3 linked regions of the Arabidopsis thaliana genome follow. The protein of the gene in region 1 purifies or fractionates together with the protein of each later gene. This does not show direct contact. Each region holds a gene or a part of one and is shown on either strand. Other genes may lie near its edges.

Region 1 (5,132 bases):
TGGAGTTTCAGCATCCTTCAACTTCTCTCTAAAGTCAGATTCTTCTTTAGTTGATGGCTCCTTACTATCATTTTCATTCTGATTCTGAGAATCAGAATGGTCTTCTCCATCAAAATAAGCTGTTCTTATCAACTCATAAGCTCCAAATTCACTACTAGACTCAGCTTCTAACTTATCAGCCCGTATCTCCCCATGCTTACTCCAACATCCATTTCTCTTGTATTTATGATTCATTCCTTTAATAACCAGATGTTCCAAAACAGTATCAATTGGTTGATGACACAGATTCCGGCAATCCGTACATGGACAAAACATTTCAGAAGGATCTCCCAAACGTCTCGATGATGCGTAAACAAATTTTGTTGCTCCTTTCTCGTACTCAATGCTATTCCTTGGCAGCCATACCCAACTCTTATCCATTTTTGAAACACCAACAAGCTCCAACCCCATATATATGATAATATTTATATATATATATATATATATATATATATATATATATTAGTTAACAGAGATACAAGAACAAAGACACAAAGAGAAATTTCAAAAACAAAAATTCAATACTATCAAAGCTATATTGAATACAAGAACCACATAAACTCAAAGCTACACGTATACTAAGAACCACAGAAATTAACTCAATTCGATACAAGTGAATCACATAAATAGTCAAGTTCCATTGGATACAAGTGAAAAGTCACAGAAATAGTCAACTTCTAATCGATACAAGTCAATAGTCACTGAAAATAGTCAAGTTCTAATCAATACAAGTGAATACAAGCTATCAAAGCTATTTGAAACTCAATTCGATACAAATGAATGCTCACTATCAAAGCTATATGAAACTCAATTCGACACATGAGAATAGTCAAGTTCAAAGCTATATGAAACTCAAAATCGATCTAAGAACCACAGAAATCGATCTAAATAACATACTTGTCAAAGAGAAGCCACTGAAATCTTTGAGAAACGCGGATAGCGAAAGCCCCAAATCGAAACCCCTAAATCTGAGAAACCTGAAAATCAAACCCTAAATGTGATTAAAACCCCAAATCGAAACTCAAACCAGACAATTTCACAATGCAAACCCTAAATCGATTACAAAAGAAACATAACCTTCTCGATTTAGAACCAGATCTGTGACTGAGAAGCTGAAGAGTACCAAAAGAGATTGAGGCGTTGAGCAAGAACACGAACAGAGACGGGAGAGAGACAGACAGCTGAAGAACACGAACACAAACAGAGAGAATTGAAAAAGAGAATTGAAAGAGATGAAGAACAGTGAGATGAAAAACAGTGAGAACACGAACAATGTTTTTTGGCCTTAGAAAAAAATTTCGGGGTTAAAAGTCACCAAATATTTTATTCTCCAACGAGCAAAAAAATTTCATTCCGCGCTACTATATTAGGTAGCGGTTTTTGTAAATTAGTGCTATCGAATAATAACCCCTAATCTAAAAATATTGACCCGAGTCATTTTATTTCCCGGGGTAAGATAGTATAACGTTTTGAAAACCAAACGTTATAACGTTTTAGCTGGTTAGTAAATTATAGCAGAACACGATTAACTGCTACAATATAATATTATAAATGCTCAATATTCTTCTAGTAATTTTAATATTAATAAGGAGGTCTTGTATAAACTGATTGTTTCCTGGAAGTGTTATTGCATCGCCAAAAACAGTTGGCGGAAGTCCAGCCCAGTCATGTATTGGAACATCAATTACTCTGTTCTTGCTGTTAGAATCGTTTGGCTCTTGAGTCTATGACAGTTTCTTTTGTCGGAAATGTTGTGAAAAATAAAAATACTATGACTTACTGGAGTTTCAAAATATAACCAAAAAAAACGAAAATATATTATAAGAAGTCTGAAAAAAGTAGAATTTTGTTTTTAGCAAAACATTAAGACGTGTTAATTGTCAAGAGAAGACCTATGCATATATAATAGTCAAGAAAAGACAAACTATAATAAAAATCTAATGAAACTGTCTTTTTCAAGTGTGTCGGGGAAAAATGATAAATTCGACCACGATTACGGATACCACTAATAATTATGGTCACATGCAGATGCAAATGGATTGGTCAAAAACGTCAACTTTGACTTCGCAGCTCTCAAGTAATCTTTTCCCCACTACTAATAGCTCTCTTCTCTCAATCAACACAACACAATTCACCACCATGAACTCTTCCTTTACTCTCTTCATCTTTACCTTCGTCATCTTCCTCCAATGTCTAAATCCCACCGGAGCTGCCACGTGTCATCCTGATGATGAAGCGGGTCTTCTAGCTTTCAAAGCGGGTATAACCCGAGATCCTTCGGGTATTCTCAGTTCTTGGAAGAAAGGTACCGCTTGTTGTTCTTGGAACGGTGTCACTTGTCTCACCACTGACCGTGTCTCTGCACTCTCTGTCGCTGGACAAGCCGATGTTGCTGGAAGCTTCCTCTCCGGCACTCTCTCGCCGTCGTTGGCTAAACTCAAGCACCTTGATGGGATTTACTTCACCGATCTCAAGAACATCACTGGTTCTTTTCCTCAATTCCTTTTCCAATTACCAAATCTTAAGTACGTATACATTGAGAATAACCGTCTCTCTGGTACTCTTCCGGCTAACATCGGTGCGCTAAGCCAGCTTGAAGCGTTCAGCCTCGAGGGAAACCGGTTCACCGGTCCGATCCCGAGCTCGATATCTAATTTGACTCTGTTAACTCAACTCAAACTCGGCAATAATCTCCTAACCGGAACTATACCGTTAGGGGTCGCTAATCTCAAGCTCATGTCGTATCTCAACCTTGGAGGTAACCGTCTCACTGGAACCATTCCAGATATTTTCAAATCCATGCCAGAGCTCCGATCTTTAACTCTCTCCCGCAACGGATTCTCCGGGAATCTTCCTCCGTCCATTGCATCACTCGCACCGATTCTTAGGTTCCTCGAGTTAGGCCATAACAAACTCTCCGGGACGATTCCAAACTTTTTATCAAACTTCAAGGCGCTCGACACATTGGATCTCTCCAAGAATCGGTTCTCGGGTGTCATACCGAAGAGTTTCGCCAATCTGACCAAGATATTCAATCTTGATCTCTCCCATAATCTTCTAACCGATCCATTCCCTGTCTTGAACGTTAAAGGCATTGAATCTTTGGATCTTTCTTACAACCAGTTTCACTTGAATACGATCCCGAAATGGGTGACTTCGTCGCCGATCATCTTCTCGTTGAAGCTAGCAAAATGCGGGATCAAGATGAGCTTAGACGATTGGAAGCCAGCGCAAACATTCTACTATGATTTCATCGATCTGTCGGAAAACGAGATCACAGGGAGTCCAGCAAGGTTCTTGAACCAAACAGAGTATCTAGTGGAGTTCAAGGCAGCGGGTAACAAACTACGATTCGATATGGGGAAGCTAACGTTTGCAAAGACGCTGACAACTTTAGATATATCAAGGAACTTGGTATTTGGGAAGGTGCCGGCAATGGTGGCTGGACTAAAGACATTGAACGTGAGTCACAACCATCTTTGTGGAAAGCTTCCAGTAACAAAGTTCCCGGCCAGTGCGTTTGTGGGTAATGACTGTCTTTGCGGCTCTCCTCTTTCTCCTTGTAAAGCTTAAGCGGCAAGAAAGCTACAACTGGTAGTTGGATATTTACCGTGACCAATAAAGTTTAGCTCCAAATAAAATTTGTATTAAAAAGATTACAACAAATAAAGTAGTTTTATGTTATGAAGAAGCTTCATTCTAACAATATGTATTAGTGAAAGTACTCAAAGTAGTATTTAAGTTCTCAACTATTATGCATTTTTTATATAGCAGCTAAAATATTACTTTAACATGATAGAAAAATGATTTTAAAAAATAGAAGGAAAAACAGAGTAGTATTCTGATACAACATGCTCCAATTTATGTAACTTTTGCTTATATATTAAACTGATTATGTAGTATGCAACTCTTGGCTAATCTGTTCTCAATTCAGAATAGTCGCAACAAATGATGCAGTAAATAATCTATGTTTACTGGAATTTAACTCGCTCTATACAAAAAAAGAAAGAAAGTTATAGTGATATCTTATTTAGAACTATGCGTAATTTATTATTCTTCAGTGTTCTATAATTGGTTAACAAAAACCTAGTGATGAAAACAAGAGGAGTCCTTACTAGATAGATGCATATAACTTCATCACTACAAAATTTATTTGATCACAAATAACACATACCAAACAACAAACCAAGTAATCGATATATACTAGTATCAAACCTCTTTTTTCTCTTTACATACACATAACACAAGGTCATCCACAGGACATATAGCGTCTGCATTGAGGAATTAGACCATCTCTGAAGTAGGTTTCAACTTAGTATTGTTTTTTTTTTTGTCTAAAACACTAAAGTTCGATTAGACTAATGCATCCATATTCAATGAGACAAAGACATAGTAAACCAACCTAGAAAAATTATTCAAAAACTATACAAAAAAAGATAGTTTGAGTAATTGGTTCTTCCAAAACAAGACTAATGCATGCAGCATCTTAAAACTTCACCACCATAAACGAAAATTGAGTAATTGGTTCTTCCAAAACAAGCTAAGATTCCACTATAATTTCTTACGATAAACAAATAGATAAAGCTACTTATGTTAATGTTGGATTACGCTAAGAAAATTAAGGCATGAATCTATCGGCCCATCTCGAGGCCAACTTAGTCCACAATCTGGATCATTGTACTTAGATATATTTGACTTTTATTTTGTGGTCAATAATGTACATATTGTTAGACAAAAATAACATGTTAATAAATATTTTTTTTTTTTCAAAAATAACGTACATTTTGAGAAAACATAAATGAAATTTCTTTCCAAACTAAGTTTCATAATAGCCCAAAATATTATTTAAACATGATAGAAAACAATTGTAATTTGACAACAAAGTTCTAGAAAAATAAGATACATAAATCCTTTATCTATAATCATCAAAATATTATAAAAATCTGATGAAAGAAACTGTCTCTTTCGAGGGGTTGAGAGATAATAAATTCGACAACGATTACGGATATTACCACAACTTATTGCCACCACATGAACATGAATTGGTCAAAATCGGCAGCTCTTGATTCAACGTTTTCCTTCTATTAATAGCG
Region 2 (4,967 bases), about 17 Mb from region 1:
CAAATGGCAGACTAACACAGCTAACAAAGGCGTCACCGGATTCCAAATCTTACCCAACGGAAACATCGTCCTACACGACAAAAACGGCAAATTCGTATGGCAGAGTTTCGATCACCCCACCGATACACTCCTCACCGGCCAATCGTTAAAAGTTAACGGAGTCAACAAACTCGTTAGCCGTACATCTGATTCGAACGGCTCAGATGGTCCGTACAGCATGGTGCTGGACAAAAAAGGTTTAACCATGTACGTTAACAAAACCGGTACGCCGTTAGTTTACGGCGGATGGCCGGATCACGATTTCCGCGGCACCGTCACTTTCGCCGTTACAAGAGAATTCGATAATTTAACGGAGCCGTCAGCTTACGAGCTTCTCTTAGAACCCGCACCACAACCCGCTACGAACCCGGGTAATAACCGCCGGTTACTCCAAGTCAGACCAATCGGAAGCGGAGGAGGAACTTTAAATCTGAACAAAATCAATTACAACGGAACGATTTCGTATCTAAGACTCGGATCTGACGGGAGTCTCAAGGCTTACTCGTATTTCCCAGCAGCTACGTATCTCAAATGGGAAGAGAGTTTCTCATTCTTCTCCACTTACTTCGTCCGTCAATGTGGCTTGCCGTCGTTTTGCGGCGATTACGGTTACTGCGATCGTGGGATGTGCAACGCGTGTCCTACACCAAAAGGATTACTCGGATGGAGTGATAAATGCGCACCACCTAAAACGACGCAGTTTTGCAGCGGAGTCAAGGGTAAAACTGTCAATTATTATAAGATAGTCGGTGTTGAGCATTTTACTGGGCCTTATGTTAATGATGGACAAGGCCCAACTTCTGTGAACGATTGCAAGGCCAAGTGCGATCGTGATTGCAAGTGTTTGGGTTACTTCTACAAAGAGAAAGACAAGAAATGTTTGCTTGCTCCTCTGCTTGGTACACTTATCAAAGATGCCAACACTTCTTCTGTTGCTTACATCAAATATTAGTGTTTTTTTGGGAAAGTTATTTACCGAATTCTTTTTGAATTCTTAGAGATTTAATGAATAATCGGTGTGCTTGTAATGATCCACCGTTGAATATATTGTATTACCTTAAAAAAAAGCCATCAGATGTATTTACTATATATATATAGTACCTTTGAGAATCAAAATACCATGTGAAGCATTATCATTATTTTGTTGCCTCTGACAAGAGTTTTGTAGTCCACTGGTCCTCCACTTGGAATACCGCTCACTTGGTTCTTAATTCAATTGACTACTGAGGTTTGTAGATGGTCGTTGGGACTCATACTGTCAAAAGAACAGCAAAAATTTTGTCACTTCTCCAACTCATTGGGCCTTTAGGCTTTGTCATAGCCCAATAATTCTATCTTAATCGGACAAACCGTGTGGTCCACTTCCCTTCGTACATATTTTTTACAAGTTTTGTGGTCTTACTTTTTACTTTTTAGCATTACATGGGATAAAAAGTGAAAGCTTGCCCAGCAGCTATGCATCCATCAACCATCAAAATCTGACTCACAGTACTGTTTTGGATGTCTGAACTTACATAAAAGATTCGATCATCACAAGATGATTATTGTGAGTTTTAATTTTTTTACTGTTAAAGCTGGCGGAGATGTTTTTATATCTGTTAGCATTATCTCGGAAATTTGTATATATATATACGACAGTCTAGTGGCGGGTCAGATAAAGGTGGAATGTGTAGTCTAGACTTTAGAATATATAAAATTACTTTATGAAGTATATTTACATACAAGACGGTAAAATCGAGAAATTTATATAGCTAGTTTGGGAAGTGTGGGTACTTAGTTATCCAAATATTCACTAATTTGAGTAGAGATCAAAATGGTGATCGGGTAGATTGCAATCTTGAAAGGATTTTTAGATATATTTTTACAGTTTAAAGTATTTAAACGAGTACATTCTATATTTAAAAACAAGTGTTTAAAGTATGAATCCGATTGGAGAATCTAAATTTTCTTTTGTCAAAAACGATGGTCAACTTTGTCTGAACAATTTTCATGAGATTAGTTATACAAAATTTGTGTAATAAAAACGGATTAACAACAATATATATAATTAGTGTTTTACTCACAACTTTTGTATATACGATAATTTTCGAAAATTCTCAGTAGACATATCTTATCCAAATCATAAATGAGCCATTGGTTGATCTGTATAACGAAGACACGATTTGCAGCTTAGGACCATTCAAAAAAAAAAAAAAAAAAAACTTAGGACTTTCAAACGAATACAGCCCAACGACCCAAAGTTAAGATCTTATATATACACCTAAAGGATATAGAAAATCATCTCACTCTACTACTCAATCTCAGTAAACATAAAGAACACAACCATGCTTAGGTTTGATTACTTACTAATCACGGCACTTGCCATTTCAACTGTTTCGGTTGTCATGGCCCAAGTCCCTCCCGAGAAACAATTCAGAGTGCTCAACGAACCCGGCTACGCCCCATACATCACCGAGTACGACGCGAGTTACCGATTCCTCAACTCACCGAATCAGAATTTCTTCACAATTCCTTTCCAGCTCATGTTTTACAATACAACTCCTAGCGCCTACGTGTTAGCTCTCCGAGTCGGAACGAGGCGTGACATGAGTTTCACGCGTTGGATCTGGGACGCCAATCGCAACAACCCCGTCGGAGACAACTCCACACTCTCATTCGGCCGAAACGGAAACCTTGTGCTCGCTGAGTTAAACGGCCAAGTCAAGTGGCAGACTAACACAGCCAACAAAGGCGTCACCGGATTCCAAATCTTGCCCAATGGAAACATGGTGCTACACGACAAACATGGAAAATTCGTTTGGCAGAGTTTCGATCATCCCACCGATACACTCCTCGTCGGCCAATCCCTAAAAGTTAACGGAGTTAACAAACTCGTTAGCCGTACATCTGATATGAACGGCTCCGATGGTCCGTACAGCATGGTGTTGGACAACAAAGGCTTAACCATGTACGTTAACAAAACCGGTACGCCGTTAGTTTACGGGGGATGGACGGATCACGACTTCCGCGGTACCGTCACGTTCGCCGTTACAAGAGAGTTCGATAATTTAACGGAGCCGTCAGCTTACGAGCTTCTCTTAGAACCCGCACCACAACCCGCTACGAACCCGGGTAATAACCGCCGGTTACTCCAAGTTAGACCAATCGGAAGCGGAGGAGGAACTTTAAACTTAAACAAAATCAACTACAATGGAACGATATCGTATCTGAGACTTGGATCCGACGGTAGCCTCAAGGCCTTCTCGTATTTCCCTGCCGCGACGTATCTCGAATGGGAAGAGACTTTCGCTTTCTTCTCCAATTACTTCGTCCGTCAATGCGGTTTGCCGACGTTTTGCGGCGATTACGGTTACTGCGATCGAGGAATGTGCGTCGGGTGCCCTACACCGAAAGGTCTGTTAGCTTGGAGTGATAAATGCGCTCCACCTAAAACGACGCAGTTTTGCAGCGGAGGCAAGGGTAAAGCTGTCAATTATTACAAGATAGTCGGTGTTGAGCATTTTACTGGGCCGTATGTTAATGATGGACAAGGCCCAACTTCTGTGAACGATTGCAAGGCTAAGTGCGATCGTGATTGCAAGTGTTTGGGTTACTTCTACAAGGAGAAGGACAAGAAATGTTTGCTTGCTCCTCTTCTTGGTACACTTATCAAAGATGCCAACACTTCTTCCGTTGCTTACATCAAATATTAGCGAGATTTATAAACCGAAACCAACGTGAATTCTCATAGATTTAATGAATAATTGGTGTTGTTATAATGCTTCACCGTTTTTGTTTTCGTAGACTCGCGTATTATGCTCAGTCCTAGTCAAGTATGATATTATCAAAATAAAAATGGATGATATTGATGTTCTTCAGATTATCAAAATTGAAATTAATAGTCGATCATTATAATGCGTCCTTTATACAATATTCAATTAATGCTTTTGTTTTGTATAAATAACAATGAGACAACTCGATATTGTTGCACATTTCATAATTTTCTGTTGGTTAATGATTATGCCGTGGGACCATTTTTTCTATGCATACGACTGATTACTGAGATTTTTCTTTTCTTGGTTGAATGAGTATCTGCAGGAAAATTAAAAACTCAAATTTATAAAAAATTAGGAAGAATCATATCCTAGGAGAGTAGGTAGGTAATTGTTGTTTTAAATATAAACAAAGGGAATACTTCTTTTAACCACAAAAGTTATGCTATCATTTTAGAAAGAAAAAACTATTCAACCAACCCTTGAATAATGGATATTCACCTAGTTTATTAGAAATTTTCTAGTAACGATTGGTCAGTGCCTCAGTGGCAGCCAAAAAGGAATATCCTTAATCTTATTTAATTTTGACAACAAATATTTAATACACTCCAATAACATTAGAATTCTGTAGATGACAAAACTTTAAATAAGTAAATGCAAGCGTCCATCGCGGATCTTTGGGATTGGGACCTCCATAGATTTATTTGTCTGGTTCTATTTGAGAGAATCATATTTACAAAATTTAAGGTCCATTGGGCTTTATTTATGGGCCTATTAATTATCGATTTATCCACATTCTTCTTTTGTTTGGTTTTCATCGTTTCCAATTTCCATGCACAAAGAAAACGCTCTTATACGTAAATATATTGGTATTTCTACTAGATCATACTTTATACTTTATGTGTTATTTCTCCATTCCAGTATTATTGTTTTTCTTTTGTTACGCATCATAATAGGGCGGCAATATTCGTTGACAATGATTGCTAAGCTGAATGGAAACATAATTACAATTTTAATAGCAACAAATATATTTAAATAAAGTAAATAGTAAACAATACTTAAATGCTAATCGTACAAATTAAAGGAAGGGAAAATAATTTGATAGGTCTACTGATTGAAAAAGAAAGAACTAAAGCACTCTTGCTGGCCCCATCCCCTGTCTCCCTCATCTATCAC
Region 3 (7,578 bases), on another chromosome or scaffold:
ATCACAGAGAAACTCCGTGAGCCATATAGTGGAAAAAATCTCCAACAATTACAGAGACTGACTCTTTGCTTAGTCAATAAATAGACAAGTTGATACTTGATAATCCTACATCCTTGAACATTATAAATCTTGTTCAAAAGCTCTTAATCTATACCAAAAAAATACCAACCTTGTAAACATAAACAATTTGTTAATGTCGGCTTCAAATTGCAGTTGCCTTGGATTCTTAGCAAAAGTGGTACTCTTTGCTAGAACACCAACACCCTGAAAAGAAAATTAAAAGCAAATTCACCATTGAATCAAAATTGACAATGCCTATTATTATCGTATGAGCAACTTCAAATTACATTTTATGGACAGAAAGCAAATCATTGAGAATTCAATCATTTTCAAGTACTCACATATGTTCTGAAGTCTATACAAGCTACAAAATATAGTCACAGGAATCATATTACAGTGAAGACTAAATCCTTTGAAAAGCCTCGAACTTTCTTCATACCCAACATCAAAAAACACGTACCAGAGAGGAAGTTTCAAAAATAAGTCAGATTAGAAGATAAGAACTTCATATATTCACCTGCTGAAATTTTCCGAAAAGAAACATCATTTTTGCAAACGCCATTCTTTTTTCTCCTCACGTTGAAACGACGGGCAGAGAAGAAGATGAATCGCAGGTGCTTCAGTTGAAAGATCTCTTTCGGTGATTGATTCCAAAAAAACGAACGCTACTGCCTCAGCTCCATGACTGGGTTTAATTTGTGTTAATGGGCCTTAATGGCCCTCTAAATTTATAATGGGCCTTAAGGGCCGTCTCCCCCTAATTTATTTCATTCATATTAAAATTAATTTGAAAATTTTCATTGAGTTCCAAAATTAATGAAGTAGACTACTGATTTGTTGATTATTGAAAATTGAAATACTGGAAATTATTAAACAACGAAAAACGTGCGTAGAAAGGTAAAAGCCTTATTATATAACTAAAAGTTGAAGAATCTTTATTCATCAATTGAAATTCATAAAATCAATTGGGAGAGTGCTAAACGAAGGTTCCAAAACAACAACAACAACTTGCCATCATGACTTGACGGTACTGATATCAGAACCGTTTTGAAGGCAAGGGGACAGAAGAAATGAAGTGAGAGAATAATGTGAGAGATTGCGCCGGAGCCAAGGCCGGAACCTGGTGACCGGCTCCTCTCACCGTGACAAAATTTAGTCCACCGGCATAAGTCTCAACCCATCCAGCTACTTGACTCTTGTGGAACCATGACCTCCACGGTGACTCGACCTTAAGTCCCATCTTTTTTATGCTATAACGTGTAGATGTTACCGGAACTCTCCCATCCGTATCTCCACTATAGCCAACATTGAACCAGTGAACATTAAACTAATTGACAATATATATGAATTTTTCACGTAATTTTTAAAACAGTTAAAGAAAGATATAGATACCTATAGATCCAGATACGGAGGCCACCCGTCAAAAGCTTTTGTATGATGGGAATCATGGTGGATGGAGCATCACTCCATCTCTTTATTACTCCGCTGAATCACACCCACAAGATCATATATATATATACTTTGTTCATTAGAAACATGACATTAAACTTAACATACAAAGTCTCTAGCTAGCTATTAATTTTAGTTAGTACCACGTAACGTAAGGAGGACTAACCTGCAAGGAGAGTACGGATAAGGAAGGTTGGTGACGTTCGCATGGAGTGCAACCTGCACATCTTTCCGGTTAAAGTAATTCTCGGCATAACTTTCAGTGCATGGATCGTACCCGGCCGGAAACTTGTCCCACAAATCCTAAACCATCAAAAGAGAAGAATTGGTAAGAAAAAGTAAGAAGAGAGATTATGGTAATTACATTATGTTACAATGATACTATATTGTATTGTAGATTACGTACGTCAAAAGTAAGGAGACGAGGAGACACGACGATTTTAGGTTTTCTTGGAGAAGATGACAACAAAGAGGAGAGGCAAACGGGAGTGTAGATACTGTATATATCGATATCATTGTAAGCATCCATGAACCCTTTGAAATTGTTGTAGCATTGTTCGGTCTTGTTGGTGGTATCTTCCTCAAAACTGCACGAGCCATGGATGCTGGTGTGGACCTCGTCCGATATTATAGCGTGGCTCCATGCGTAGTCCACTAGTCCTGCCATGTCTGTTGCCTCATTGATCACCGCGTTCCCTATCTGCAACATCAAACGAATACCTTTTATGTTTACTTATAGCACAAGAAACGTTGCTTCCTCGTTTCGCAAGTAACCTTACTAGTAGTATACATATATATAGAGTGCATACCATGAATCCCTTGAGATTAATGCTAGAGTCTTTCGTAACCTTCTTGTTCCTGTCGTAAATTACCTCCGCGAGCTGAGGAACATAGTGACCTGAGAAAAGAAGATCAAAAGCATGTGATTCAATCTTTGTTTTATATAATATTAATATACAAGATTAATTCTTTTATATTAGGTGATATAATTCATAAATCAAGAATTAAAATCGGATAAAGCACTTACCGGCGTAACTCTCGCCAGAGATGTAGAACTCGCTGGATCGGAACTCGGGGAATTTCATGAACCAGTTGATCAGGAAAGCAAGAGAGTCCGATGCAGTAACTTCATCTCCAAGCTTTTGAAGATCCATTGAGTTATTGGTATACGAGAACCCAACCCCAACCGGCGCTTCCAAGAACAACATATTGGCCTCTGCACAAACATTTTTTTTAATGTAACCACGGTTAATATTAGTATACATGTTAGCTAAAGAATTCAAATGTTTCTGATAGTATGGTAATAATTCATTTTACCTTTGTTCCAAGAGAAATGATTGTAGGTAAGTTTGCCACCGTTGTCGTGAACAAGAAAAGGGCCTAGTTCTTGTGCAGCTCCATAGGCTATTGATGAGCAACCCGGTCCTGCATATTTTGGATTTTAGTTAAACTGATGAAAATAATTTAAGAGTTTCACCAAATATGTAATAATACAATTCACTAAAGAAAATTGCTATTTTCAATTCCATCGCTAGATTTGTCAAGAAAATCCAAAACTAAACAACTAAATTTGTCGAGAAAAAATAAAATTAATGAGACTAGCTAGCTAGACGTCAGTATTTTGTCCCGAGTTGTCTATCAAGATTCAAATATCATTTTCGTATACAGAAATTAAATAACTAAAGATTTTGCTATTGCTCTTGATTACATTGGATTCGTGTGTACCCTTCAATCACGCAAATCCTATAAAGGTAATACCTCATTATTAACAAATTTCAATCTTTCTGTTCAAACTAGACATGTACACAACTCCACATTATTATTAGACATAGCTTTTTGTTTATTTCTAAGTGTATAATTGAATATTCAACATCTTATCCGATTTCTAGCCCCAATAAAAAAGACTAGGTTGATATTTCTCGTATCCCTAAATATCCTAATATTGGAATGAACCGTGTGGGAAAAAAGACAAACCGTATAAAGTAAATTCGTTAAATTGAATGTACAACTACCGAGAGAAAAAGAAGAAACAGACAAAAGATCTTTACTCACTCTAGAAACAAGATTTGGACATTGAATGTTACACAAAAAGGACACTGATTGAATGATACAAGTCCAATATCTGTCAGAGAGCCGGACCATATACGACTTCGTTGATATTTTTTCCAAATATGTTGTTGGGTTATAGTATAGTGTTTTATTTCACTGAATCTTCACGAAAAAATATGATGTATTTAAACAGGTTAATTTTAATTTTTGTGAATAACTTTTGTTCACTTAATTAGATCGAAGCTCATTTTCAAATACAACTTGTTTTAAGCTATGGTTTTGAGATTTCACGTTAAGAAAACGAGGACTGGACTATATTTGTCCCGAAGAGGCAAGAACCTACTCGTTCCACCGTATACAGACTACAGATTGTTGAAGTGCGTTCCACAAAACGAAATATTATTAAAGTAGGCAATTAAAATTTGTCGGCATTCCCAACTGTATCAGATTTGTTATCACTTCTCCATCAAGCAATAGTAAGGAACAAAAATGTTGAATAGTATCAGTGTATCACTTAATGGTGTTTCTGGCTATTTTTATCAAGCCATACACGGCATCTATAAGTTACAGATTATTAAGAATAGCGATATATAACTGTACAAACAATAGACTACTTTAAGTTTTGGCTATTTGATAGACTTGTAATTTTTGGAAAATTTAAAACAAAAACAACTGCATCGAAACGACCCTTTACTATCTCGTTGCGATACAATTACAGTAAAATTTTATTGTTACTGAAACGAAAGGAACTGCTTGGCAAGTTACAAGGCAGGGTAAGGAGACAGACGATGGAGTTTGGTAGGACAATGTACACAACTTGATGTTTTCTAAGAGTTAGCTATATAAATAATTAAAATTTTAGTCCAAATTCAATTATGTATCCAAGAAAATACAACTGCCGAAAACATTTCTCTATGTTTAGTGTTTTTTCTTTTTCTTTTTCGTGCAAGTTTTATCTATTATTTTCCCAACATCACGGCCTGCAGGCACAGAGTTTTGTGGTCAATACGTGATGGTGTGATTAGACATATGTATTAACCTAATTACCATGGCCCACGAGGCACGAGCTTGAGAGTTCATTAATCTTTCATTACACTGATTTTTTTATTGCAAACATAATCATCACATCATCCGTTTCAAAAAAGGTGCTATCATTTTAAAATTGGTAAACATATTTGTAAAACCGCAGAAACAATGAAGTTTCGAATGAAAATTCCAATTGAGAACAATGATAAGTTTGTATTACTACTTCAAATAAAATATACTTTATGTAAATGAGCGAGAGAGGAAGAGAAACTGACCTCCATTGAGCCAAAGGACGAGAGGACGACGAGAAGAGTTTTGTTGAGCTTCGAAGAACCAATAGAAAAGTGCCTTTTGCTTCTGTTCAGGCCCCAGATTCACGTAACCGGCGTAGTGTTTGAAGTTAACCGGTGGTTGGCCGGGCAAACCGGTTACAAGGTCATCTTCCTTCCTCCCAGAGGATGAAATTGTTACCTTCTTCTCCGGTTTCCTACCACAGGCTATCGCCGGTAACACCAGAATGCACAGTAGCCAAAGTGCGTTCTTCTTCATCGCCAAAACTCTTTCTCGTCTCTTTTGTTTCTTTTGTTCTTTTCAATTATTTATCGAAATGAAGAGCAGATGAGAAAACGCCCCCACTTCTTCTACTTTATACTGTCTTTTTTTATATTAAAAAAAACTTTAAAAGTCTTTTATTTTTCATGAGATTTTTTTTTTGATACTCACGTGAAAATGTTATAACAATAAACACATTTCATAATCATTTCCTTGTAATGTGCCTCCACGGTCTCCGATAACATGGTTGGTTCACTACCAATTTTCTCACCTTTTACAGAAAGATGGAATTGAATTTCAACGCTTGAGATGTCATCATCGGAGACTGAACCACATGGCTATGGAGATGGAGCCATCGGCAAATTAAATGCTTTCTTCTTTATTTTTCTTAATTCAGAATTTCATCTCCCAAAACAAGGTTTTATAAACCATATAATCAAAGTTGAATTCAACACACAAATTGCTCGTACTGTTTAGAAATCAATTAAAATTCATTAAATTACATGTGTAGTACTACCGTAGAGCTTTAAAACAACAGCATTGTCATATAAACAAAGCTTATGTTTTATGTTGATCTCAATGATAATTTCCAAAGAAAGTGGTTTATTCGCAATTGTCTCGGGAATAATTTATTGATGCTATAGTCACCTAGAAGAGGCCAGAGAAATTGGCGGCTTAATGAGAATCATTTATTGATGCTATAGTCACCTAGAAGAGGCCAGAGGGCCTGTAAGGCCCAAAATACATTAATAATGAGGTTAATGAAATTTTATATATATCAAAGGCCCGATACTTTATTGATAGGCCCATATGTTTTCTAAGCCCAAATTGTTCGAAAACAATTATTCACCAGATATATGCAGATAACCTAAATTCAAACAACAACGGCTTCACCGCCAGGTTTAAAATAGTACAGTAGTATCCAAAAAAATTCTGTTTATTTGAATTACTCACTATTAATATTCTTCCAATTCCAATTTCCACACGTATAAATTAAACAAGTTGTTTGACAAAATAAAATAAAGTGTATAACAAATAAACAAGAACTTAGGTGATCCGTCACTACCCACCTGTCAATTTCTCTTTTATCAACAATCCTCAAGTCTAAAACCCTAATTCTAATTTTCCTAATTTTCTAGTTAATCCCCTCCAAAAGATTCGTCCTTTCAAAAGACCAAAACGAAAACATAGCAAAACACGAGAATAAAGAGCCACACAAATTTAAAAGACCGTTAGAAAAGAGCAACGAACTTTTTTTAGCTCACCAAATCAAACCCAATTTCACATTGAGAGCCAAACACGAAACTTATGCGTCTTAAATCCTTCTTCCCTCATTTCACATTCTTCACCTACTAAATTAACTAACAACTTCATTATTTCTTATCTCTCTTTCTCTTTCTCTCTGCAAAAAAATTATACACACTCTGTTTCTTTGTTCCTTCTTTGTCACTATGAATCTTAGTTTTTCTTCTTATAATCTCACGGCTACTGCCGTGTCCTCTTCTTGTTTCGGAAGCGACGAACTTCTGGTTTCAAGGAGGCTGTTTTCCCTGAGAGATGTTCAGATTCTTGAGCTCTTTATTGCCTTTTTCGTGTTTGCGACAATACATTCCTTGCGCCAGAAGAAACACCAAGGGATGCCCGTTTGGCCGTTGGTTGGCATGCTTCCTTCGTTGATATCCGCGGTACGAAGCAACATATACGAATGGCTGTCTGATGTTCTTATCAGCCAAAACGGGACATTCCGGTTTAGAGGTCCTTGGTTTAGCACCCTCAACTGCGTTGTTACCTGCGACCCAAGAAACGTTGAGCATCTTCTCAAGACCCGTTTCTCTATCTACCCAAAGGGTTCTTACTTCCGTGAGACCATGCAAGATCTACTCGGAGACGGGATTTTCAACACCGATGACGGAACGTGGCAACGACAAAGGAAAGCAGCAAGTGTCGAATTCCATTCGGCTAAATTCAGACAATTAACCAGTCAATCATTGCACGAACTCGTGCATAATCGACTTTTGCCGGTTCTAGAAACTTCCGGAAAGATTGATCTTCAGGACATTTTGTTAAGACTAACGTTCGACAATGTATGCATGATTGCTTTCGGGGTCGATCCAGGCTGTCTTAGTCCAAAACTACCCGAAATTCCTTTTGCAAAAGCCTTCGAGGACGCAACAGAAGCAACAGTTGTGAGATTTGTGATGCCTAAATTCGTGTGGAAGCTCATGAGGTCTCTTAATTTAGGAACGGAGAAGAAGCTAAAGGAATCAATAAATGGTGTGGATGATTTCGCTGAAGAAGTAATCCGGACGAGGAAGAAAGAGATGTCTCTAGAGACTGAAATCGCGAAGAGACCTGATCTCTTGACTATTTTTATGGGTCTACGAGACGAAAATGGACAGAAATTTTCAGATAAGTTCTTGCGTGATATTTGTGTGAACTTCA

The links.
Region 2: the proteins of AT1G33590 (region 1) and AT1G78820 fractionate together in Arabidopsis thaliana (co-fractionation; one large-scale study listed by BioGRID). This does not show direct contact.
Region 3: the proteins of AT1G33590 (region 1) and scpl35 fractionate together in Arabidopsis thaliana (co-fractionation; one large-scale study listed by BioGRID). This does not show direct contact.

What each region holds. Positions count from the first base shown.
Region 1 is NC_003070.9:12,175,610-12,180,741, forward strand, and holds AT1G33590 (Leucine-rich repeat (LRR) family protein), read left to right. Parts: upstream 1-2,063; 5' UTR 2,064-2,067; coding exon 2,068-3,612; 3' UTR 3,613-4,019; downstream 4,020-5,132.
Region 2 is NC_003070.9:29,633,165-29,638,131, reverse strand, and holds AT1G78820 (D-mannose binding lectin protein with Apple-like carbohydrate-binding domain-containing protein), read left to right. Parts: upstream 1-2,200; 5' UTR 2,201-2,363; coding exon 2,364-3,731; 3' UTR 3,732-4,036; downstream 4,037-4,967. Other genes in the region: AT1G78830 (Curculin-like (mannose-binding) lectin family protein), read left to right, coding at 1-991.
Region 3 is NC_003076.8:2,654,791-2,662,368, reverse strand, and holds scpl35 (serine carboxypeptidase-like 35), read right to left. Parts: upstream 5,316-7,578; 5' UTR 5,134-5,315; coding exon 4,860-5,133; intron 2,935-4,859; coding exon 2,827-2,934; intron 2,726-2,826; coding exon 2,537-2,725; intron 2,408-2,536; coding exon 2,319-2,407; intron 2,210-2,318; coding exon 1,916-2,209; intron 1,813-1,915; coding exon 1,676-1,812; intron 1,546-1,675; coding exon 1,453-1,545; intron 1,356-1,452; coding exon 1,097-1,355; 3' UTR 932-1,096; downstream 1-931. Other genes in the region: AT5G08270 (C5orf35), read right to left, coding at 170-264, 578-622; AT5G08250 (Cytochrome P450 superfamily protein), read left to right, coding at 6,588-7,578. UniProt on the Arabidopsis thaliana protein: Probable carboxypeptidase.